Callithrix jacchus: one gene and its partner. The protein of the gene in region 1 purifies or fractionates together with the protein of each later gene. This does not show direct contact. Links are inferred from orthologs where the notes say so. Each region holds a gene or a part of one and is shown on either strand. Other genes may lie near its edges. The genes, in order: UBXN7 and NPLOC4.

Region 1 (4,532 bases):
TAGGGCTGGGTGTGGTGGTTCACATCTGTAATCCTACCACTTTGGGAGGCTGAGGTGAGTGGATCATTTGAGGTCAGGAATTCGAGACCAGCCAGGCCAACATGAAACGCTGCCTCTACTAAAAAATACAAAAATTACCTGGGTCTGGTGGCACACGCCTGTAGTTCCAGCTACCCAGGAGGCTAATAAGACAGGAGAATCGCTTGAACTCGGGAGGTGGAGGTTGCAGTGAGCCAAGATCATGCCACTGCGCTCCAGCCTGGTGACGGAGCAAGACTGTTTCAAACTAACAGCAGCAACAACTAAAAGAAGTGGCTTTTATCTCTTTCTTTATATTTTTTTGGGGGGGTGGGGGGAAGAGATGGTCTTGCTCTCTTGCCAGGGATGGAATGCAGTGGCCTCCATCAAGGCTGTTTGCAGCCTTGAACTCCTAGGCTCAAACAATCCTCCCACCTCAGCCTCCCCAGCAGCTGGAACTACAGGTCAGTGCCACTACATCCAGCTCTTTTTTTTTTGTTTTGAAAGATGGGGTTTCACCATGATGACCAGGCTGATTTGGAACTCCTGACCTCAGGTGATCCACCTACCTCAGCCTCCCACAGTGCTAGGATTACAGGTGTGAGCCACCGAGCCAGGCTCTTCAGCTCTTTTTTTTTTTTTCCTGTAGAGATGGGGTCTATGTTTTGCCCAGGCTGGTCTCCAACTCCAGGCCTCAAGTGAATTTCCAGCCCTATCTCCCCAAAGTACTGGGATTACAGGCATGAGGCTCCATGCCAGGCCCAAGTGACATCATAAACCACCTCTAGGAAATCTAGAGAAAGGACTAATAATGATATCCACTTCTCAGATTTACTGCAAAGATTTTCTATATAAGCATAATGCAGCAACACTAATTTATATACACAATAATCTTCTCCACAGCAATGATTTGTTAGAGATTAGGAAATCTTTTATATATTTAATATAATTATCTAATCCTGGCCGGGCATGGTGGCTCACGCCTGTAATCCCAGCACTCTGGGAGGCCGAGGTAGGTGGATCATGAGGTCAGGAGTTCAAGACCAGTCTAGCCAATATGGTGAAACCCCGTCTCTAATAAAAATACAAAAAATTGGCTGGGCGTGGTAATATGCGCCTGTAGTCCCAGCTGCTCGGGAGGCTGAGGCAGGAGAACTGCCTGAACCCGGGAGGCGGAGGTTGCAGTGAGACGAGATCGCACCACTGCACTCCAGCCTGTGCGACAGAGCAAGACTCTGTCTCAATAAACGAATAAATAAATGAATAAATAAATAATCCAATCCTTTTTATCTTCAATATGATAACCCAATCACAAAGTTTAAAAATAATATGACTCCTCACCCCAATTTTATTACAAATTTTACGTCACTAACTTTGACCTGATGTTCCATGCCCACAAGCTAGATAACAACGCACGAAACATGCCGCTATCATTGCAAAGCAAAAAATAAAACCAGCTTTAATAATAAAACGGTAACTCGTATACAGCCTGCGGTAGTTAAAACAATATAAAATTTTACTTAACCAGATCTTACGTTAAATTCTAAGAACATTAACAGTGGAAACAAATTCTGCATCTAACAAATCACAAAATATAGATCCGCGGAGACAACTACCATTCTGACCTCCTTCCAAAATGACAAACTAGAACGGCGAAATTACACTCAGGCACATGGAGTACTCTTCTCTCAAATCACTCCACTGAGAACTTCATCATTTGCTCCGCCCTCTAATAACTCATGCAAGAAAAGTTCAGCACCCTCCGAGAGAAACAAGACAGAGAATTCACAGGATGGCTCAGGGCCTTTCCTCCAGGCGGTAAGACGATCTGCCCGTGCCCTTCGCAGGGGTCCACAGGGAGAGAACCACCTAGGCCCAGGGTTTCGGGGGTTCTGACACCCAGAAACAGATTTTCTCTCTCAAAGTTTCTGCCGCCATCCCTATCTTATCGGCAGGAGGCCCCGGCGCCATCGTCTCCGTCTTTATGATTTTATTATGGGGAGGTGGGAAACGCCACCCAGGATTCCTCCAGGCCTCCCCTATCCAGCGTGGGGGTTCCCCCTCATTCTTCCCTCAAAGCCTCCGTCCCTCAGGTCCTCCCCAGCACCCCCCGCTTTGGCGGCCTAACCCCCGGGAAGGGCACAGGCACTGCCGAACCCACCGGCCTCGCGGTGAAGGCGGGAGGGCCCGAACCCGCCAGGGCCATGGCGATGGCTCCGAGGGGCCCGGAGAGGGGAAGGGCAGGCCGGGGACCGGGGCAGAACGACCTGGCCGGGAAGAAAGGGAAAGGGGTGAAGAGATGCGCCGCACCCCAGGGCTGCACAGAGAAGGGAGGATGGTGAGGGGAGGAGGAGGGCGGTGGCCCGGGTGCGGCCCCCCACTCCCCCCGCCCCGGGTCCCCGGGCCGGCGGGGGCGGACGGGCTCGGTCCATTCCCAGGTCTGGGCAGGCGGGGGGGCTGGGGGAGCTCCCTCCACACTACTAGGAGACCCAGAACGAGGGTGTCGGGGGTGCGGGGGGCCGTCTCCCGCCTGAACCCCGAGACCCCCCAACGCCGTCGTCGCCTCTTCCTCGGGAAGGACCGCAGCTGCGGGTAAAGCCCGAAGGCGGAATGCGTGAAGGTAAGGGGGAGCCCGGGGCAGACCCGCCGCCCGCTCGGGACCCCACTCCCCACCTTCCGGTAACCGCGTCTCTTACCGGTGATGGCGGTGAACTGTTGAATTAACCCCTTCAGCGCCGACGACGCCGCGGAGCCCCCGTGGGCAGCCATCTTACCGCCGCCGCCGCCGCCGCCGAACAACAACACAGACACACACGGACCGCCCTCCCCCACTTCGCCGCGCGCCGTGCGCAGACGCACTGGCCGCCCCAAGCCCCGCCCCCGCCGACCGCGCAGGCGCATTTTCTCTCCGGGCCGGCGCGCCGCCCGCTCTCCGGTTGGCTGCCGGGTTGCCGCCTGTCCGGTGGCCGCTGCTCCCTGCGTCCTTCGGCCGCTGCCGGCGCCTCAGCTCCGGGCTCCAGGGCCAGCCTCGCAGGCGCGGGCTCCATTCCTAGATTCCGAGGGCAGCCTGGGCCTCCGCGGACAGCTGGCGTTTCGGCTTCGCGGGCCTCACTGACAGAGCCGACTGCCGTGACAGTGTCGTTTCTTTTTCGCAGTCCCACCGCGCTGTGTTAGGTTCCTGCAGGTCCCAGCAAAATACAAATCCGACGTCCTGGCTTCGAAGCGACTCCCGTCCCGGCTCCCCAGCCTCTAAACTCATGGCTCCGCTCACCGACCGTGGCGAGTGAAACGCCAGAAGTGAAATTCCAGAACCCTTCACGCCAAAGAGCAGGGTGGACACGCGGTAGGTTTTGATGGCGATTGTTTAGTTGCTTTCCGTCAATAAATTGGCCAGTACGTCTCCCCTTAGGGTGTTACTCAGACCCTAAGACGTGTCATTTGTATAAAAACAGACGATGTATATGCGGTAGAGGAAAGAAAACACGGGGAAAGTGTCCTCAAAACGCCAGAGAGGAGAAGGACTGGGCACTTTCCTTAGAGTTTCTTCTGTTTTTATTTTATTTATTTTTGAGACGGAGTTTCGCTCTTGTTACCCAGGCTGGAGTGCAATGGCGTGATCTCGGCTCACCGCAACCTCCGCCTCCTGGGTTCAGGCAATTCTCCTGCCTCAGCCTCCTGAGTAGCTGGGATTACAGGCACGTGCCACCATGCCCAGCTAATTTTTTTTTTTTTTTTTTTTTGTATTTTTAGTAGAGACGGGGTTTCCCCTTGTTGACCAAGATGGTCTCGATCTCTTGACCTCGTGATCCACCCGCCTCGGCCTCCCAAAGTGCTGGGATTACAGGCGTGAGCCACCGCACCCGGCCCTTCTCTTTTAATTTTTGAACAAACATTACTGGCCTGGCGCGGCGACTCATGACTGTAATCCCAGCACTTTGGGAGGCCGAGGTGGGAGGATCGCTTGAGGCCAGCAGTTTGAGACCAGACTGGGAAATATATCAAGACTCTACGAAAAAAAAAAAGAAAATGAAAAAAAAGATTTCGAAAAAAGAAAATGTATTAGTGTGTTACTTGAATAATATTAACTATTTTGTAAAACAATTACATGAGTGGGGTGAACTCAAATCGAATGTCCCCCCACCTTGCCAACAAAGTTACAAGAGATTCCGTGTGATTCTGTTTGTTTTCGCCTCCCACCTTCCGACTTCCACGTATTTTGCATCTTCATAGGAAAATGGTCCACTAAGAGATGGGACAAGTTACCTGGAGAATTGACACATCCTGAGTAAATATGCTATTTGGGAGAATTAAGAAATAGCCATGTCAAATCAAGGGCTGTAGTTTTTGTTTTGTTTTGACAGGGAATCTCACTGTTGCCCAGGCTGGAGTGCAATGGCATGATCCCAGCTCACTGCAACCTCCACTGCCTCCTGGGTTCAGGCGACTCTCCTGTCTCAGCCTCCCGAATAGCAGGGATTACAGGCATGTGCCATCAAGCCCAGCTAAGTTTTGCA
Region 2 (4,381 bases), on another chromosome or scaffold:
TTTTTTTTTTGTAGTGATGGAGTATCACCAGTATACTGCCCAGGCTGGTCTCAAGCTCCTAGGCTCAGGTGACTCTGCCACTGTGCTGGAATTTCAGGCATGAGCAACCACACCTAGCTGTTATTTACTTTCTGTAAAAAAGATTTTAATATGGTCAGGCACAGTGGCTCACATCTGTAATTGTAATACTTTGGGAGGACAAGGTGATGGATCACTTGAGCTGAGAAGTTCAAGACCAGCCTGGGTAACATAAGGAAACTTCATCTCTACTAAAAATACAGAAGTTAGCCAGGCATGGTGGCACACGCCTGTGGTCTCAGCTACTTGGGGAATTGAGACATGAGAATTACTTGAACCAGGGAGGTCAAGTTTACAGTGAGCTAAGATGGTTCCACTGTACTCCAGCATGGGTGACATAGTAAGACCCTGCCTCAAAAAAAAAAAAAAAAAGAGAGAGAGATTAAAGTTAAAAACAACAATGGTCATTAATGGTAAAATTTAGCAGGGTTTTAAAAAAATATTTTCGGTTGGGCACAGTGGCTCATGCCTGTAATCCCAGCACTTCAGGAAGCCAAGGCAGAAGGATCCCTTTAGCCCCAGAATTCAAGATCAGCCTGGCCAACACAGCACGCTTGACTCCATCCTAATTTAATATGTATGTATTTTATTTATATATATATATATATATATATATTTTTTTTTTTTAAGTATTTTTTTTTCCCATGGTAAGCCTAAAAAGGGGGCAGATCTGGAATACTATGGGACAAAGAGCATTACTTCCTAAGACGACTTCGTTTTTATGCTGATGAAAGCCATTGTGAAGGTGAGCTATAATGCCTAGCCAACAGTACAGGTCCCTGTTCACATAGGGAGGATGAAATGGCATGCTCTGCAACAAACAAAGACCTGCTCCAACCACCTGCAGACGGGAAGGAGGCTGATAGGAGCATGCTGCAAGTGCTGGTGTCCTAGCTTCTCCTCTCAGCAATGACTGGTAGTGCACTGCAGAGCTTCTATTTCTTGCATTATCATCTGTCTTTAGCTCATTTTTTTCTTTTTTTTTTTTGGAGACGGAGTTCACTTTAGTGGCCCAGGCTGGAGTGCAATGGTGCAATCTCGGTTCACTGCAACCTCCACCTGCCAGGTTCAAGCAATTCTCCTGCCTCAGCCTCCCAAGAGGCTAGGATTACAGGAATGCACCACAACACCCAGCTAATTTTTTGTATTCTTAGTAGAGACGGGGTTTCACCATGTTAGTCAGGCTGGTCTCGAACTCCTGACCTTGTGATCCACCCACCTCAGCCTCCCAAAGTGTTGGAATTACAGGCGTGAGCCATCACGCCTGGCCTGAAGACCGATTCTTGACACCTGGTAAAACTGCAGAGACTGTCACAATACTACAGCATGAACATTACTCCTCACCCAGTACTGCTCAGCTTCCCCCAGAAATCCCAAACCTTTCTTAATACTAATCAAAATTCGGCTGGGCTCAGTGGCTCATGCCTGTAAGTTCCAGCACTTTGGGAGGCTGAGAGAGGCAGATCACCAGAGGTCAGAAGTCCAAGACAAGCCTGACCAACATGGCAAAACCCAGTCTCTACTATAAATACAAAAAAATTAGCCGGGCGTTGTGGCAGGCACCTGTAATCCCGGCTACTCAGAAGGCTGAGGCAGGAGAATCCCTTGAACCCGGGAGGTGGAGTTTGCAGTGAGCCGAGACAGGGCCACTGCACTCCAGCCTGGTCAACAAAAGCAAAACTGTCTCAAAAAAAAAAAAAAATTAACCAAAATTCTGTCCAAGAGTCAGTTAATTTTTCCCCATCACATTTACTTTTGGGGAACAGCTTCTCACAAGTTAACGAGGGGCTGGTTTTCCCTGATTTTTCACTGACATTTTTTACCTTGGTAGGGATGACAATTCGTTTTTCCTTTTTTTGGAGATGCAGTCTCACTCTGTTGCCCAGGCTGGAGTGCAATGGCACGATCTCGGCTCACTGCAACCTCCACTTCCCAGGTTCAAGCGATTCTCCTGCCTCAGCCTCCCAAGGAGCTGGGATTACAGGCGCCAGGCACCACGACCGGCTAATTTTTTGTACTTTTAGTAGAGACGGAGTTTCGTCACGTTGGCCAGGCTGGTCTCGAACTCCTGACCTCACGTGATCCACCCGCCTCGACCTCCCAAAGTGCTGGGATTACAGGCGTGAGCCACTGCGCTCGGCTGACAATTCTCAGTTTCAGGTAAAAAGTTAAATCAACCTCATTTATGACATTCCTTTTAAAGAGGAGTTGTCAAGTTTTCCTTCCTAGAAGGAGCAAAGCCGGGAAGTTACTGCGTTTTCATTTTCCCAGCTCCACCGGCGGGGAGGGAGCTCTGTAACGTCCCCGTCTGCAGTTGCTCTCCTCAGTGATTCATGACAAGGCACTTGCTGGGAAGGGGGAGAGCGGTAGAAGAGAATCGGAGGGAGATTGGGGTAAGAAGTGGCCCTGGCTCTGAGAGGGGCAGGACTAGCTGGGAGTCCCTGGAACTGGACCAGGAAGTCTCCTGGAGCCGGGAACCGGGTGAGGAAGGAGGGCGGTTTCTCTTCGGCACAGTCAATTCTCCCTGCAGAAAGCCTCGGCCTTTCCCTGCCCAGGGCGGGGAACCGGGGTCGCGAGTCCGCCGGGAAGGGACAAGGACGGGAAGCAGCCGAGGGGGTGAAAGTCGCCGAGGGGGGCCCAGCCTCTGCTGAGAAAGCCCGGGTGAGAAAGGGGAAAGGAACCCGGTCGCGGGGCCGGCAGGCCCGCCTCCCCAGCAGGCCGCGGCCGGCAAATCTGCTGCCTCATCCCGGCGTCCCCGCTCCCGCCCGGCTGCCGCACTCACGATGCTCTCGGCCATGGTGGCCACTCCTGCCTCCGGGCTCGAGTCCCGGGCCGCCGCCGCCTGCTGCCCCAAGGGCCTCGCAGACCCGGCCGCGGCCTCAGACCCGGCCCCGGCCTCCCTACGCCGCCGCAACCGCCGCTCCAGCTTCGCCCGCCCGGCTCCGCCAGCCGCCGACGTCCTGGTGCCTCGCTCAAGACTCTCCCCTAGGCGCGCGGCCGGGAAACCAGGTTCCGGTCCCAGCAACGACTGGACGCATGCGCAGGGTGGTGCCGTGGACCCGCCTCCCCTCCCGGCACCGCGAGGAGGCGAATTTTGGAAAAATGCCCCGTCGATGACAACAAATGCTCGTCCTCGGAAACGCAAGCTGTACAGAAAAGCCCAAAAAGGAGGCAAAGACAAGCATCCGAAATCTCACCCAAAAATAGCTACTGCTGCGTATTACAGCGAATTATAATTGGGGAAATAGCATTCCAAACTTCCCTCCATGCACAGCTAAGGAGAGAAACAATTTCAGGGAGAGGACCACACCTTTGTTATTTTTTTTAAGTCTTTTTTTAAATTTAACATGAGACGGGAGCTGCGGTGGCTCTGGCCAGTTGTCCTGGCGCTTGAGGAGGCGAGGCTATGAGTTCAAGGCCAACCTGAGCAACATAAGAAGCTCTCATTGATTAACAAAAAAAGAAAAAATAAAAAAATTTTAACATGAGAAAAACAAATGAATAAAAAAACTACATTTCAGACCGGGCGCGGTGGCTTACGGCTGTAATCCCAACACTTTGGGAAGCTGAAGTGGACAGATTTCCTGGGGCCAGAAGTTCAAGACCCAGCAGGCCAACATGGTGAAACAAAATTAGGCCAGGCACGGTGGCTCACGCCTGTAATCTCAGCACTTTGGGAGGCGGAGGCAGGTGGATCATCTGAGGTCAGGAATTCGAGACCAGCTTGGCCAACATGGTGAAACCTATCTCTAATAAAAATACAAAAATTGAGGCCGGGCGCGGTGGCTCAAGCCTGTAATCCCAGCACTTTGGGAGGCCGAGGCGGGTGGATCACGAGGTCAAGAGATCGAGACCATCCAGGTCAACATGGTGAAACCCCGTCTCTACTAAAGATACAAAAAATTAGCTGGGCATGGTGGCTCTTGCCTGTAATCCCAGCTACTCAGGAGGCTGAGGCAGGAGAATTGCCTGAACCCAGGAGGCGGAGGTTGCAGTGAACCGAGATCGCGCCATTGCACTCCATCCTGGGAAACAAGAGTGAAACCCCGCCTCAAAAAAAAAAAAAAAAAAAAAATTACCCGGATGTGGTCTTGCATGCCTATATTCCCAGATTCTCAGGAGTCTGAGGCCGGAGAATCACTTGAAGTTGTGAAGCAGAGGTCACCGTGAGCGGAGATGGGGTCACCCTTCTCCAGCCTGGGTGACAGAGCAAGACTGTCTCCATCTCAAAAAGGAAAAAAAAAATTAGCTTGGTGAAGTGGCTCATTCCTATAATCCCAGCTACTCAGGAAGCTGAGGTAGT

The links.
Region 2: the proteins of UBXN7 (region 1) and NPLOC4 purify together in Homo sapiens (affinity purification with mass spectrometry; 3 studies listed by BioGRID and IntAct, with this or other methods). This does not show direct contact. The link is inferred for Callithrix jacchus from reciprocal best matches to the Homo sapiens genes UBXN7 and NPLOC4.

Annotation. Positions count from the first base shown.
Region 1 is NC_133518.1:80,615,849-80,620,380, reverse strand, and holds the start of UBXN7 (UBX domain-containing protein 7), read right to left. Parts: upstream 2,819-4,532; 5' UTR 2,788-2,818; coding exon 2,715-2,787; exon of another isoform or gene 1,783-2,714; intron 1-1,782. UniProt on the Homo sapiens protein: Ubiquitin-binding adapter that links a subset of NEDD8-associated cullin ring ligases (CRLs) to the segregase VCP/p97, to regulate turnover of their ubiquitination substrates.
Region 2 is NC_133506.1:137,289,887-137,294,267, forward strand, and holds the start of NPLOC4 (nuclear protein localization protein 4 homolog), read right to left. Parts: upstream 3,053-4,381; 5' UTR 2,876-3,052; coding exon 2,861-2,875; intron 1-2,860. UniProt on the Homo sapiens protein: The ternary complex containing UFD1, VCP and NPLOC4 binds ubiquitinated proteins and is necessary for the export of misfolded proteins from the ER to the cytoplasm, where they are degraded by the proteasome.